Stegostoma tigrinum: one gene and its partners. The protein of the gene in region 2 purifies or fractionates together with the protein of the main gene of each other region. This does not show direct contact. Links are inferred from orthologs where the notes say so. Each region holds a gene or a part of one and is shown on either strand. Other genes may lie near its edges.

Region 1 (3,752 bases), on a different chromosome or scaffold from region 2:
AAACAGATTCAAGTAGCACATCAAGGCTTGTGTAGTCTAAGCAGCATCTGAAATACAAATGACAAAAAGAACTGCTCTCACGCAAAACAAGCAAAACCCTTGGTTTGAACTAAACAAAGCCAAACATTTAGCTCAAAGTAAAACAAAGTGGAGGAACTCCGTAGATCTGGCAGCATCTGTGAAAAGAAAACCCAAATTAACATCAGAGCTGAATTTCTCCAGCAATTTTGCTTGTTTCAGATCGCCAAAACCCACACCATGTTTTTTAAACTATAGCAAAAACCTCATCTGATTGGTACTCATCTTTCCGTTAGGGCACTGGTAAAAAAGTGAGATAAACAGGGGCAAGAAGAAAACCTAAATTTTGAATTTACAAGTTGCAGATGATTAGCGTGGAAAGTTAACAATTCAGAGAACATAATCTCAAAAGGAAAACAGCAACACCTCAAATGCTGCGAAATACACTGTGAAAGCACTACCATCACCTGCATCCTAAACCAGACTGGACAACCTATTCCACTTATAAACTTACTTCACGAATACCAAGTCAACCAGTTTTCCAACCTAGGCCATCTACTCATATTGCACAAACAGAAGCAAGCATCAGCACAAGCATATTGTCCACAGAGAACCCCACACAGACATGCAATAACAAGAAGAATGTCAGGGCCCATGTTCAGCCAGGAAATGGTGGGTGGGATCAAGCAGTCTTCAGTGGCAATTCTGTCTTTAGAGACACACTTGGGAAAGTTGACAAATTTCTGAAGATCTGTAGATAAGTAAACAAATGCTCCAGCATCTGAAAAAGGCCTTCCTTAGCAGAAGGTAAACGCTACTATATCAATTTCACAGCTATTGCCTACTGTCATCTCCATCCCACCATGACAGGAAAAATTTTTAAAGATTCCTACGAACACATTGTCAACTCCTCGCTCTCCTTCCACCAACAAAAAAAGTCTCTTCACACTTTCAGATCCTTCACTTGAGATAGCAATGGTAGCAATTTTAAGAGCCACCTGAAGGCACTTATCCATCCCATCACCCCTATGTTCACATCCCATTACAACAACCAGTATTGTCACAGCATGGCTTTCAGAATGTGGTCAACAAGGCTCTCAATCACAAACTCATCACCTGTATCTCCCCACATTTGCCCTCAACTTCACAAATCACCATCAGCTTCTGGGAAAAGCTGCACCCTCCAACTCCCCAAACACATACAGAGACTTCAAGAGCAGAACAGCTGCTGGACCATTTCAATAAATAGCTTGACCTCCTTTTGGGCCACTAGATCATGGCATGCCCTCCATTCTCAAAATCACTCCTCCTGAGCAAACCGCCTCCCACATCCAAAACAAACCTGGGCTTCCCATCTTTAGTCTATCTTTTCCCAATCCTCTGACCCGATGCCATGACCACTTGAGAATCTGAAATTATACTGTACTATATTCAGAGAAGGGCACACATAGGGAGTTACCTGACCTGGAAGGAAGGTCGGAAAGCACATGTCGCAGCAGTCAAGTAAAACTGCCACTACAAAAAAAACCTGGTGGGACATGGGTGTCACTGTCTGGCGAGCATTTATTACACGTCTATACCTCAAGGCTGTGCTCCCCACTTTTAGTGATGGTTCTTGCCCCTTCGCATTTGCTCAAGAGCTTGGCTGGCTGAAATCTGACCCCCGCTCCCTGATTCGGTGCAGCCTTCAGGCTCATTTTGCAGTAGTGCTACAGAAACGTAAGTGAGCAAACGTTGGCCACTTTGTTTATAGAGGGGGGAAAATGAAAAGATTTGGTTTAAAATCTTAATAACCACAACCATCAAAAAAAAGCTGCAGTTTTTGTTGCAGATCCGAAGAGCGATTACAGTTTTTTTTAAAAAATCCAACCTGGAGCACATGTATTGCTGCCATCTTAGAGCCCAAGACAATCCTCGCCAGCAAAAACACCAAGCTGCTTTCAGGCACGGCTCCCTTACAGAAGTCTTAAATTAATTCTCAAGTCTATTGCTGATCGAAAGATTCCACATTTCAAAAGATAACGATACCACTTTGTGTCTCAAACTCTGAAAAGAGTGAATGGTATAATGGGGGGGGGGGGAAGAGAGGGGAAGAGAAAAAGACGGACACCTCACTGGTTTGGGTCAGAGTAAATCGAGACGAGAGATATTAGGCAGATTTTTTTTTAAAAAAAAATCAACGTTTAATTAAACCCTCGGTTTATTTGGCAGCAAGTTAGATAAACAGACGTTAGACCGTTCGCACGTGGCGGTATTAAGCAATTCTTTTGTCGTCCTTTTAGCTGCTGTAAGAGGGAGATGACCCCCCCCCAAAAAAATACAAACAGATACGCGACAGCAATTACATTGTGGAAACCACGTAATTCCCCATTTTAGTTTATTTTTTTAAAAAAAACAACAAACAAGAACAAATTTCCTCTCGCTTCTGCAGGCGCGGGCTTGCCAGGGAAGCCATTTAGAAATCACTCCCTCGCGATCACAAACTGGACCCGTTCGCCTTTTCACATCGTCTCACTTTGCAATCACATCACAAAAACTCCATCCAGATACTTACAACGTGCAGCAAACTTCCAGCGGGGTATTCCGAGATTTCCGATGGAATAATCATTCAATTAAAAATCATATTTTGTTTTCCCCTAGAGCCGCCTGGTGCTACAAACTGATTTTATAAATGCCTACAATCAATAAATAGCTAAAATGTGATGTTTTTGTAAAAAGAATTAACTAAAGCTTTAAAAACACTTAGTGAAATTAGCTTTAAAAAGTTTGTTACAGTCACATGAGGTCATTCCCAGAACATTGTCCTTCCGCCTGCCATGATTGACGACAAAAAAAAATCCACTCCTTTCTGCTTTTACTTATTGGTCGAATCCAATTCCTGGCAGGCCTCTTTTTTGCTGACTGGCTGGCCAGTTGCCGCTGTTTTTACATCTTTCTGAGCTGATAGGTGGAAACTAGTTATAACTGTTGTCATTCTCAGTTTCTGGAGAGTTTGTTTGAAGGCACAACCATTTTTATTTAAACCCTACTCGGGGGGAAAACCTTCAAAGACAAAAAAACTCATGTGGTGTACAATGACCTGCACTATTTGTTCTGGAATCTAAAATATACCTAAATGCTAATTTGCGTGCATTTCAGTCTTTCAGTCACAAAAAGGCAATGAAGTAATAAGTAATTTTACATAAAGGGTAAATAGAGATAATAATAAATAAAATAAACCGTTTCAGATAGTTCAATGGGATCCACCTGTGAGGGCAAATGGGGCTTTGATTTAATGTGTCATCTAACAAACCGTACCTTTGATAGTGTGATAAGTTTAGGGTTTGATGGTACAGCACTTCATGCGTGCCACCAACTTGAATTTTAAATCAACCATTCCAGACATGTTATGACACATCTCTTGGGCACTTGGGCCTTAAACCTGTTTCAGAGATAATAGGAACTGCAGATGCTGGAGAATCTGAGATAACAAAGTGTGTGGAGCTGGATGAACGCAGCAGGCCAAGCAGCATCAGAGGAGCAGGAAGGCTGACGTTTCGGGCCTAGATCCTTCTTCAGAAAAAAGGGCCTTAAACCTAGACCCTTTGGCCCAGAGATAGAGACACCACCACGAGAGCCCCTTCAACCTGGATTATACAATTGAAGTCACAATCTTTGACTCAATGCAAGCAGTGTAATTAAATAAGAACAATACAGCAATAAAAATCCTGATTTTCAAGTATGATCCTCTAACT
Region 2 (3,752 bases):
ATATCTGTAGAATCCATAAACAGAAGTATTAAATGAAAAAAAAAATTGTTTTCAAGGTCCATCTGAATTTTCTGCAACTACTTACAATAATATGTTTTAATGTTTTATGCCTGGTGATTGTTGAGTAGTCTCAACCCTGGCTGTAAACACTTAACATGATCTGTGGTAGTGCAAAAATGCTACTCCTCAGGATAATAAAAAAGTTTTAAAATTAGAAATCATCTTTTTTGGAACAGATAAGGTGACTTTTGTTCCAGCAGGTTGGAACCTTGCCTCAGAAGGCAGTGGAAATGGGGGTCATTGAATATTTTTAATAGAGATAGATTTTTGTTAAGTAGAGAAAATCAAAGGTTACTGGGGACAGATGAAAGTGTAGATTTGAAGCACAAACAGATCAACCATGGTATTATTAAATGGCAGAGCTCCAATTTCTTTACAGGCTCAAAAGTGAAGAATGATATGCACTAAACTGCACAAAAAGCCATTTTTCTAACTCTACTACACTGTGAATCAACATTTTGAAGACAATAGAAAAATAAATGGATGGGGGTGCAAGTGACAGTGCAACACATGTAAATGTAAACTGTATCAGAGATAATGGGAACTGCAGATGTTGGAGAATCCGAGATAACAAAGTGTGTAGCTGGATGAACACAGTAGGCCATGCAGCATCTTTGGAGCACAAAGGCTAACAAAATGTAAACTGTTTCCGTTTTGCTAATGGTATGTTTGCACTAATGTTAACATGTTGCATTTTTTTCTACTTCCCTGAAGGCACTCACTCGCTGTTTGCACCCCAAGCAATTCTTTCCCATCTTGCAGCTTCCGCCCATTTTCTTCTTCCTTTGATTGACAACCGCGACCGCGCGAATAATAAGAGGCAGGGGAAAAAAATTCAAATCTGAAACGGAACCGACGTGCGTCCGCACATCAAGCACCCATTGGCTGGTTTCAATAGACGCGGGACACTTGAACTGAATGGGGTTTTATCAGTTGCCGGTGGTGACGTCTGAGCTGATCAGGGGGAGGAGGAACCTGAAAAGAGCAATTGAACAAACTGTCCCAGGCCGCACGGGGGTTGGGGGGAGGGGAGGACAATTGTCTATCAATCCACGCAGTCTGGCGTTAGGTGGAGGACCGATTATAGAGCGGGACCCGGCCGGTGGCGCTCGAGCTGGGGTCGCTCCCTTTCACAGGTAACGGGGAGCCTGGACACAGCTCCGAGCCGCCAGCCCGGTCTCATTCCGATTTTAACTCGACGGTGTATTTTGCCCGTGTTTTTTGTTTCAAAGGAAACGTGTACAGTTTTTTTAAAGTAAGATTTTTAATTTTTTTTTAAAAATCCCGGAGTTCGAGAATGTATCGGGCTTCTCGCGACGCTGTCTCCAGGGACTGGGAAAACGTGCTACCCCAGGCGGTGAAAGCCGTCAGCTGGCAGGGTCAGGAACCGGGAGGCCGGGAGCGAAATGCGGGCAGAGTCGCCGTTCCTACCCCTGTCGGTGGCAGGAAGGTGCTCGGAGTGTTGCAGAGTAATCAAGCTTTACAGCCCCATCGCAAACCCGTAAGTAAAGAGGCAGGTTCTGTCACTGGATGATCGGTGCAGGTACAATCTGTCGGCGGTGGTCTCCAGTACGGACTCTGAGTACGCGAATGCCACGACTGGTTAATATATATCATCCGACGGTTTCTCGGCGATGAGGATTAGCGTTAAATTCAAATTGCTCCAACACCATTCAGTTTCCGTTTTGCAACGGCTCACAAATATCTGGATTGTCCTCCACGTTGCAATTTAAAGCTTTTACGCTGGTTGACGTTCGAAAAATAGTGGTACTCGCATATTGATAGCAATAGTTACTTGTGTGATGCAGCACTTTATTGAACGCTTACACGTAAGCATTAAAAGTGCTCCACACTCTTTAACTCTATATCAGCCCGCAAGCCAAAACGACCTTGTTGCTAGGGTGTCCTAATAGTTTCTCATAATTGGATTGCGGAAGAACTTCACATTTTACGCGTGTAGGTTTAAATTGAAATCATTGAGTTCTTCTCTTCTCCGCCGGCCTAGCAAATATTGAGGAAATCATCTACTGGATTTTAGCCTGGTTTCCCCCGATTCCGGGACTCCGGAAAGAGTGAATTTGTGAATCGCAACTATACTCTAAATCGTCAGTGATGCCACTGCAATGAGCATGCTAACGATAAAATAGGCAGTTTATTGGAAAATCGAGAACTGTATGATTCCATACGGCTTGAGTAGTATTTTAAATAGATAGGTTACTTTTTAATTAACGTCACTATAACAACTTTTTTCAAATGGGACATACTTCATGAATTTATGGTGCTTGTTCAAAGTTCAGGATCATAAACAGCTTCTTCCCGGCAGTTAGTAGACTGAAATGGACACACTCTAGCCTCAAATAATGCTCATCTTGCTAACGTTGATTTCGCCTAGCGCGTGCCCTTTGTAATGTAACCTGCATCTTTGTACAACCTCTGATCTGTACATCCTTACTTTACTGTGATTTTCTTGTACCGATTGCAAACAAAGCTTTTCACTGCACTTCAGTACTCGTGACAATAATTCAGTCAAAAGGAATAGTTGACTGATCTTGGTTACCAATAAACAGACTTTCTGTAGAGTTATATAAGCCTTTGACCTGACTGGAATCCTTGGGAGTTGAACACTTTATGTCTACCAAGGTGTTGTATGCCAATAGGGAAATAATCAAATAACTGAGCTGAGATACTCTTGTTTTCTCCACATCTGCACCTGAGTTAAATTTGCATGTTTCTGCAGTCTTGGATCATTAGTCGTAGGTGATTCTGTGCTTCACCCAGAAGCTGAACATCTGCCACAATTTTTGTGGATAGAATCATTTGGCACTTCCACCCAAATAAACCTAGAGGTGTTGGAAGTATTTTGGTGAAGTGAATATCACAATTGAACTGAATCTGCCCTCGTTTGGTTTTCAGTCTCTTCCTTTTTGTTTTTCAAGTAGAAAATTACATTTCCCCCTCCTGCTTCTGAGTCCGTTCTTCAATTCTAGAGCTACTGAATTTTTCTTTTTAAAAACATACTACTTAAAAGACACAATTCCATCTTAAAAAGTAAGAATGTGCTACTGCATTTGGAACAGAGTCTTTTTCATGACAAAGTTGAGTTCAAGAAAAGATCTGGTTTGTGATTGCTTCTCTTAAAATAATGTAATGTTATTTCTTATTTTTAAAAATCAAGCTTTGAAAAAGAGACATGCTATTGAAGTGTCTTTGCCCTACACAAGGAACATCAAATTTCAGAGGGAGCAATAATGTATGCTGTAATTATTAAAAAGAAAATATGCTGATTGGTTGGCACATCATCTCAGGTCAAGTCATTATCATGGAAAATAATGGGATAACTTGTTCTTCATTATCATGCCATCTAGACATGCTGCCATTTTCTGAAACTGTCTGCTCTGATCATGACCTGAGCAACTGTGTAGCCTTGGAAATTAACAACTGCTATACCCATAGGTAGACTTGCAATGGATACCCTATGTGCCCATCTCTCATTGAAATCTTTTGGTTTTCATATGAAAGCATATTCCATCCATCCACCCACCCCCCCCTCACACCCCCCCAAAAAAATCCTTTGCGTACTTCGAACACTGAACAGTACAGGCCCTTCGGCCCATGATGTTGTGCTGAACTTTACCCTAATCCTAAGGTCTTTCTAATCTCCACCCCTACCTTTACACTAGCATTCATATGCC
Region 3 (3,752 bases), on a different chromosome or scaffold from region 2:
ACTCTGTTTTCAAGGAACTATCAAGCTGTACTCCAACGTCTCTTTCTGCAGCTGGTAGGCAGGAATTTGTAAATTATGTTGGAATATTTCAGACATTTGTAAATATAGCAAGGGCCTAGATTTCAAGTTATGGGAATAAGGGAAGTGAAAAATATTTTAATGGGAGCAAAATAAAATATTTTCAATCTTTTGCTGATTGCTGTCAGAAAACATGTGTTCAAGCTCAAGCATGTGTTAATTTCAGATAGACAGGCTGACAGAGGAGAAATGGCTGTCAGATGAATCCATGAATAGTGTCAGTGTCAATCACTAAGGAGCAACTTGTCAATACGGGAAAAGGTAGGCAAGAATATAGCCAAAAAATGTTCTGCAGAGATAACGGTTGAGGTGGTAGAAAATCCAGTGCTGTGGCTGACACTGAACAGGTGGTCTTGTGAACATAGGCTACAAAGAAATACGTGTGAGAGAGGTGATGAATTGGGCCGATTGTGTCAAACACAATGGATACATCATGGTGTGCAACATTTATGTTTGCATACCTTAATTAGAAAGGTTGGCATTGTTGACACATCAGAAATCAGGCAGAAAAGAGAGGAAGTGAATTGTCGGAGTGTTGAGCACGATGCTGGGAAATAACAATAATGAGGGATCTTTGACAGGAACGGAGGCACCAATTGTTGGGAATCCCTAATTTTAAAAAAATCTTACGTAGCTGTGTTTTCCATCTACTTTAACGAGGGCCTCATAAATCAGCAAGTTTGGTGTTAGACTCTGGAGATGTTGATTACAAGGATCTCTAGTATACAAACATACAAATCAAGGAACTCGTAGTTCCCTAGGCCATCCAGCCCTTTAAGCCTACTCCACCATTCAATAAGATCATGGCTGACCTCATTTTGACTTCAACTGTTTTTCTGCAAACCCCCAATAATCTTCCAACCCCTTGGAAATTAAGAATCTACCTACCTTAAAAATATTTCAAGGTTCTGCATCAACTGACTTTTGAGGAAGAGAATTCCAAAGTCTCTCAGACCTCAGAGAAAAATGTTTTTCACATCTGTCTTAAATGGTCAACATTTTATTCTTAAACTATGATCACTAATTCTAGATTCTCCCACAAGAGGAAACATCCTTTCCACATCCACCTGGTCAAGTCCCCTCAGGATCTTATATGTTTCAATTAAGTCACCTCTGACCTTTCTAAACTCCAGAGGATGCAAGTTTAGCTTGTCTCAGCCTTCCTCAAAAGACAATTCATTCATTCCAGGTGTGGGTCAAGTCAAACCTTCTCTGAACTGCTTCCAACACGTTGAAATCCGTCTACAAGCACGGTGACCAGTACTGTACACAGTACTCCAAATGTGGTCTCACCAATGCCCTGTATAACTGAAGTACAACCTCTCCATTCTTGCATCCAACTGATCTTTGCAACAAAACATAACTTTTCAACATTTAAAGCACATAAAGGTTACAAAAATATGTTGAGAGAAACACAGAGTCTTTAATGTCAATGTTGTATGAATAATTACAACAGACAATCTAAGAGATAAATCGAAAACATTGTCAAAGGCAAGAATGCAATCACTGACAATCAGAATCATAATCGGAAGGCTGCTGATTGACCTTCCAATACCATGGTTTCAGCATATGACAGAGTGATAGATTCGGACAAGACTGATTTGGATTTGTACATCATTTGACCATTGGGTGAGGCAGAGGTCCTGTCTGAATTTCTACCTAGGCTGCAAAAACAAAAATGTAATTACTGTTTGTGAAACCTGACGTCGCAACAAACAAGTGAACACATTTCAACAGAAACTGATTGGCTGTTAAGTGATTTGAATATCCCAAAAACATGGAGGGCACGATTTTTAAAAAAGTTATTTATTTCAAACTACAGTAAGAGTAAGACACGGGGTCATAGTTAATCTGACAGGATGCTAGGTATCGCAAAATAATTTGTTCGCGGTTAACACTCAGGGCACTCCTAATTGGGGTACTTGGTGCGTAAACAGTGGCATTGATGGAGAAACTGTTGAATGTTTTGGTTGCCTGATTGGCCTTTCTTATCTCCGCATATGTCAAATTCACAGCATACATTGGCGAGACGCTCTTCCGGTGCTTCCTCTTGCAACTGAAGGCTCAGTTGTTTACGTGGACGGTTTGAAACTTTGCTTTTGGCAAGGTGGGCCGGGCAAGGCACTGCTGAACGAGAATGTGCAGGTTTCTCGAACTGGAGCGAGGACCTTAAACTACTTTAAATGGCAGCGCCGAAGGGCAGGCCTGCCCCTGTTCTGCAAGGTTTAGCATCAGCAACAAACCCGCTCAGCCCGTCGTGAAAATTAAAAACAAAACAGGCAAAACATTAACTTTCAAACGAATTGATTGCAATAGCCTGATGTATGTATTCCTTGTACGCTGAATTCCAATGTTTCAAACTAATGTACACGCAATGAATTACCTCTGACCCTTCCCCTCCCCCTCAGCTGTCAGTGGGTACTTATTTACTCGCGGATGTCACCTCGGGTACACGCCCCCTTATAGTCAGGCAGCTTCCACTGTGTCTCTCTCTCTCACCCTCTGCCCCACACCCTGTCATACTCACCTCCAGGGTGTATGTCCTGCTGATGCTCTCGAAACTTGCCCAAGCCTCACATTTTGCACCCTCGTCCATGTTCAATTTCTGACAAAGTTCCTCAAACCTCTGCCAGGTCCGGCAGCCGCCCTGCTCGTCCTCGCTGGCCATGGTGGCTGGTGAGCAGGAATGGCCGGTCGGGTTGTGGGTTAGTGGAAGTGCTGCTGCAGGAGTAGCAGTTGCAGAAATACCGCTGTCGCTGTCCCCGGGAGGGCTCAGGCAGCGCTCGCGGGCCGCACTGTAGCCATTTAAAAGCCGCTTGATTGACAGCCCAACGTCCCGCCCTTGCCACCGTCTGATTGGTCTGCCCAGCTGCCCGTCGGAACGTTCGATTGTTGCCTCCTGATCGTTAAGTGGCCGCGCGGCCACGTCAATCACAGCGCTTCCTGGGTTAGGCCCTGCCTACTCCTTGCCCAGTACCTGGCAAAGCACAGTGCAGGCTTTGGCGGGGGGGGGCTGCTCTTACAGGGTACCAGCTGCCAGCCTAGTACTGGGAAAGAAATCGCAAGGGAGGGGAACATGACCTCCACATCGCAGAGAGCATGCAGAGGAGATTTAATAGAAAGATTTGGAGGGAATCAATAAACACCCATTCTGCTCAACCCCTCCTAAGAAACTTCCTTCATACCCAATATTAAACTAATAAACCTTCCCTGGACTGTCACCAATGCCAGATATCTTTTGTTAGACAAGAGAACCAAACCTGTTCACAGTATTTCAGGTTTAGATTGACAGGTGCCTTGTAAAAATTGTAGCAACCATTTTACACTCCATTCCCTTTGGAATAAAGGCTTGAATTCCATTTGCCTTCCCTATACTCATTGAACTTGGATGCTAACTTTCTGTGATACATACATCAACACTCCTGAATCCCTCTGTGCTGCAACTTTCTGCAATCTTTTCCCATTAAATAACATTTGCATTTCTATTCTTCCTGTCAATGTAAAACCTCTCAAAATTTCCCACATTATATTGTATTTACCAATTCTTTTGCCCGCTTGGTTAACCGGTTTATATCCTCTTGCAGACTGTTTGTGTCATCCTCATCATTTGTGTTCCCTTCTCTTGTGTCATCTGCAAACGTGGTGATATTACGTTCACTTTCTTCATCCAAGTT

What was found.
Region 1: the proteins of ccna2 (region 2) and cdk4 purify together in Homo sapiens (affinity purification with western blotting; 3 studies listed by BioGRID, with this or other methods). This does not show direct contact. The link is inferred for Stegostoma tigrinum from reciprocal best matches to the Homo sapiens genes CCNA2 and CDK4.
Region 3: the proteins of ccna2 (region 2) and rbl2 purify together in Homo sapiens (affinity purification with mass spectrometry; 3 studies listed by BioGRID and IntAct, counting the BioPlex papers as one, with this or other methods). This does not show direct contact. The link is inferred for Stegostoma tigrinum from reciprocal best matches to the Homo sapiens genes CCNA2 and RBL2.

What each region holds. Positions count from the first base shown.
Region 1 is NC_081404.1:17,944,791-17,948,542, forward strand, and holds the start of cdk4 (cyclin-dependent kinase 4), read right to left. Parts: upstream 2,862-3,752; 5' UTR 2,573-2,861; intron 1-2,572.
Region 2 is NC_081354.1:36,740,966-36,744,717, forward strand, and holds the start of ccna2 (cyclin-A2), read left to right. Parts: upstream 1-1,051; 5' UTR 1,052-1,196; intron 1,197-1,350; 5' UTR 1,351-1,357; coding exon 1,358-1,561; intron 1,562-3,752. UniProt on the Homo sapiens protein: Cyclin which controls both the G1/S and the G2/M transition phases of the cell cycle. Functions through the formation of specific serine/threonine protein kinase holoenzyme complexes with the cyclin-dependent protein kinases CDK1 or CDK2.
Region 3 is NC_081369.1:24,613,221-24,616,972, forward strand, and holds the start of rbl2 (retinoblastoma-like protein 2), read right to left. Parts: upstream 2,907-3,752; 5' UTR 2,747-2,906; coding exon 2,606-2,746; intron 1-2,605. UniProt on the Homo sapiens protein: Key regulator of entry into cell division. Directly involved in heterochromatin formation by maintaining overall chromatin structure and, in particular, that of constitutive heterochromatin by stabilizing histone methylation.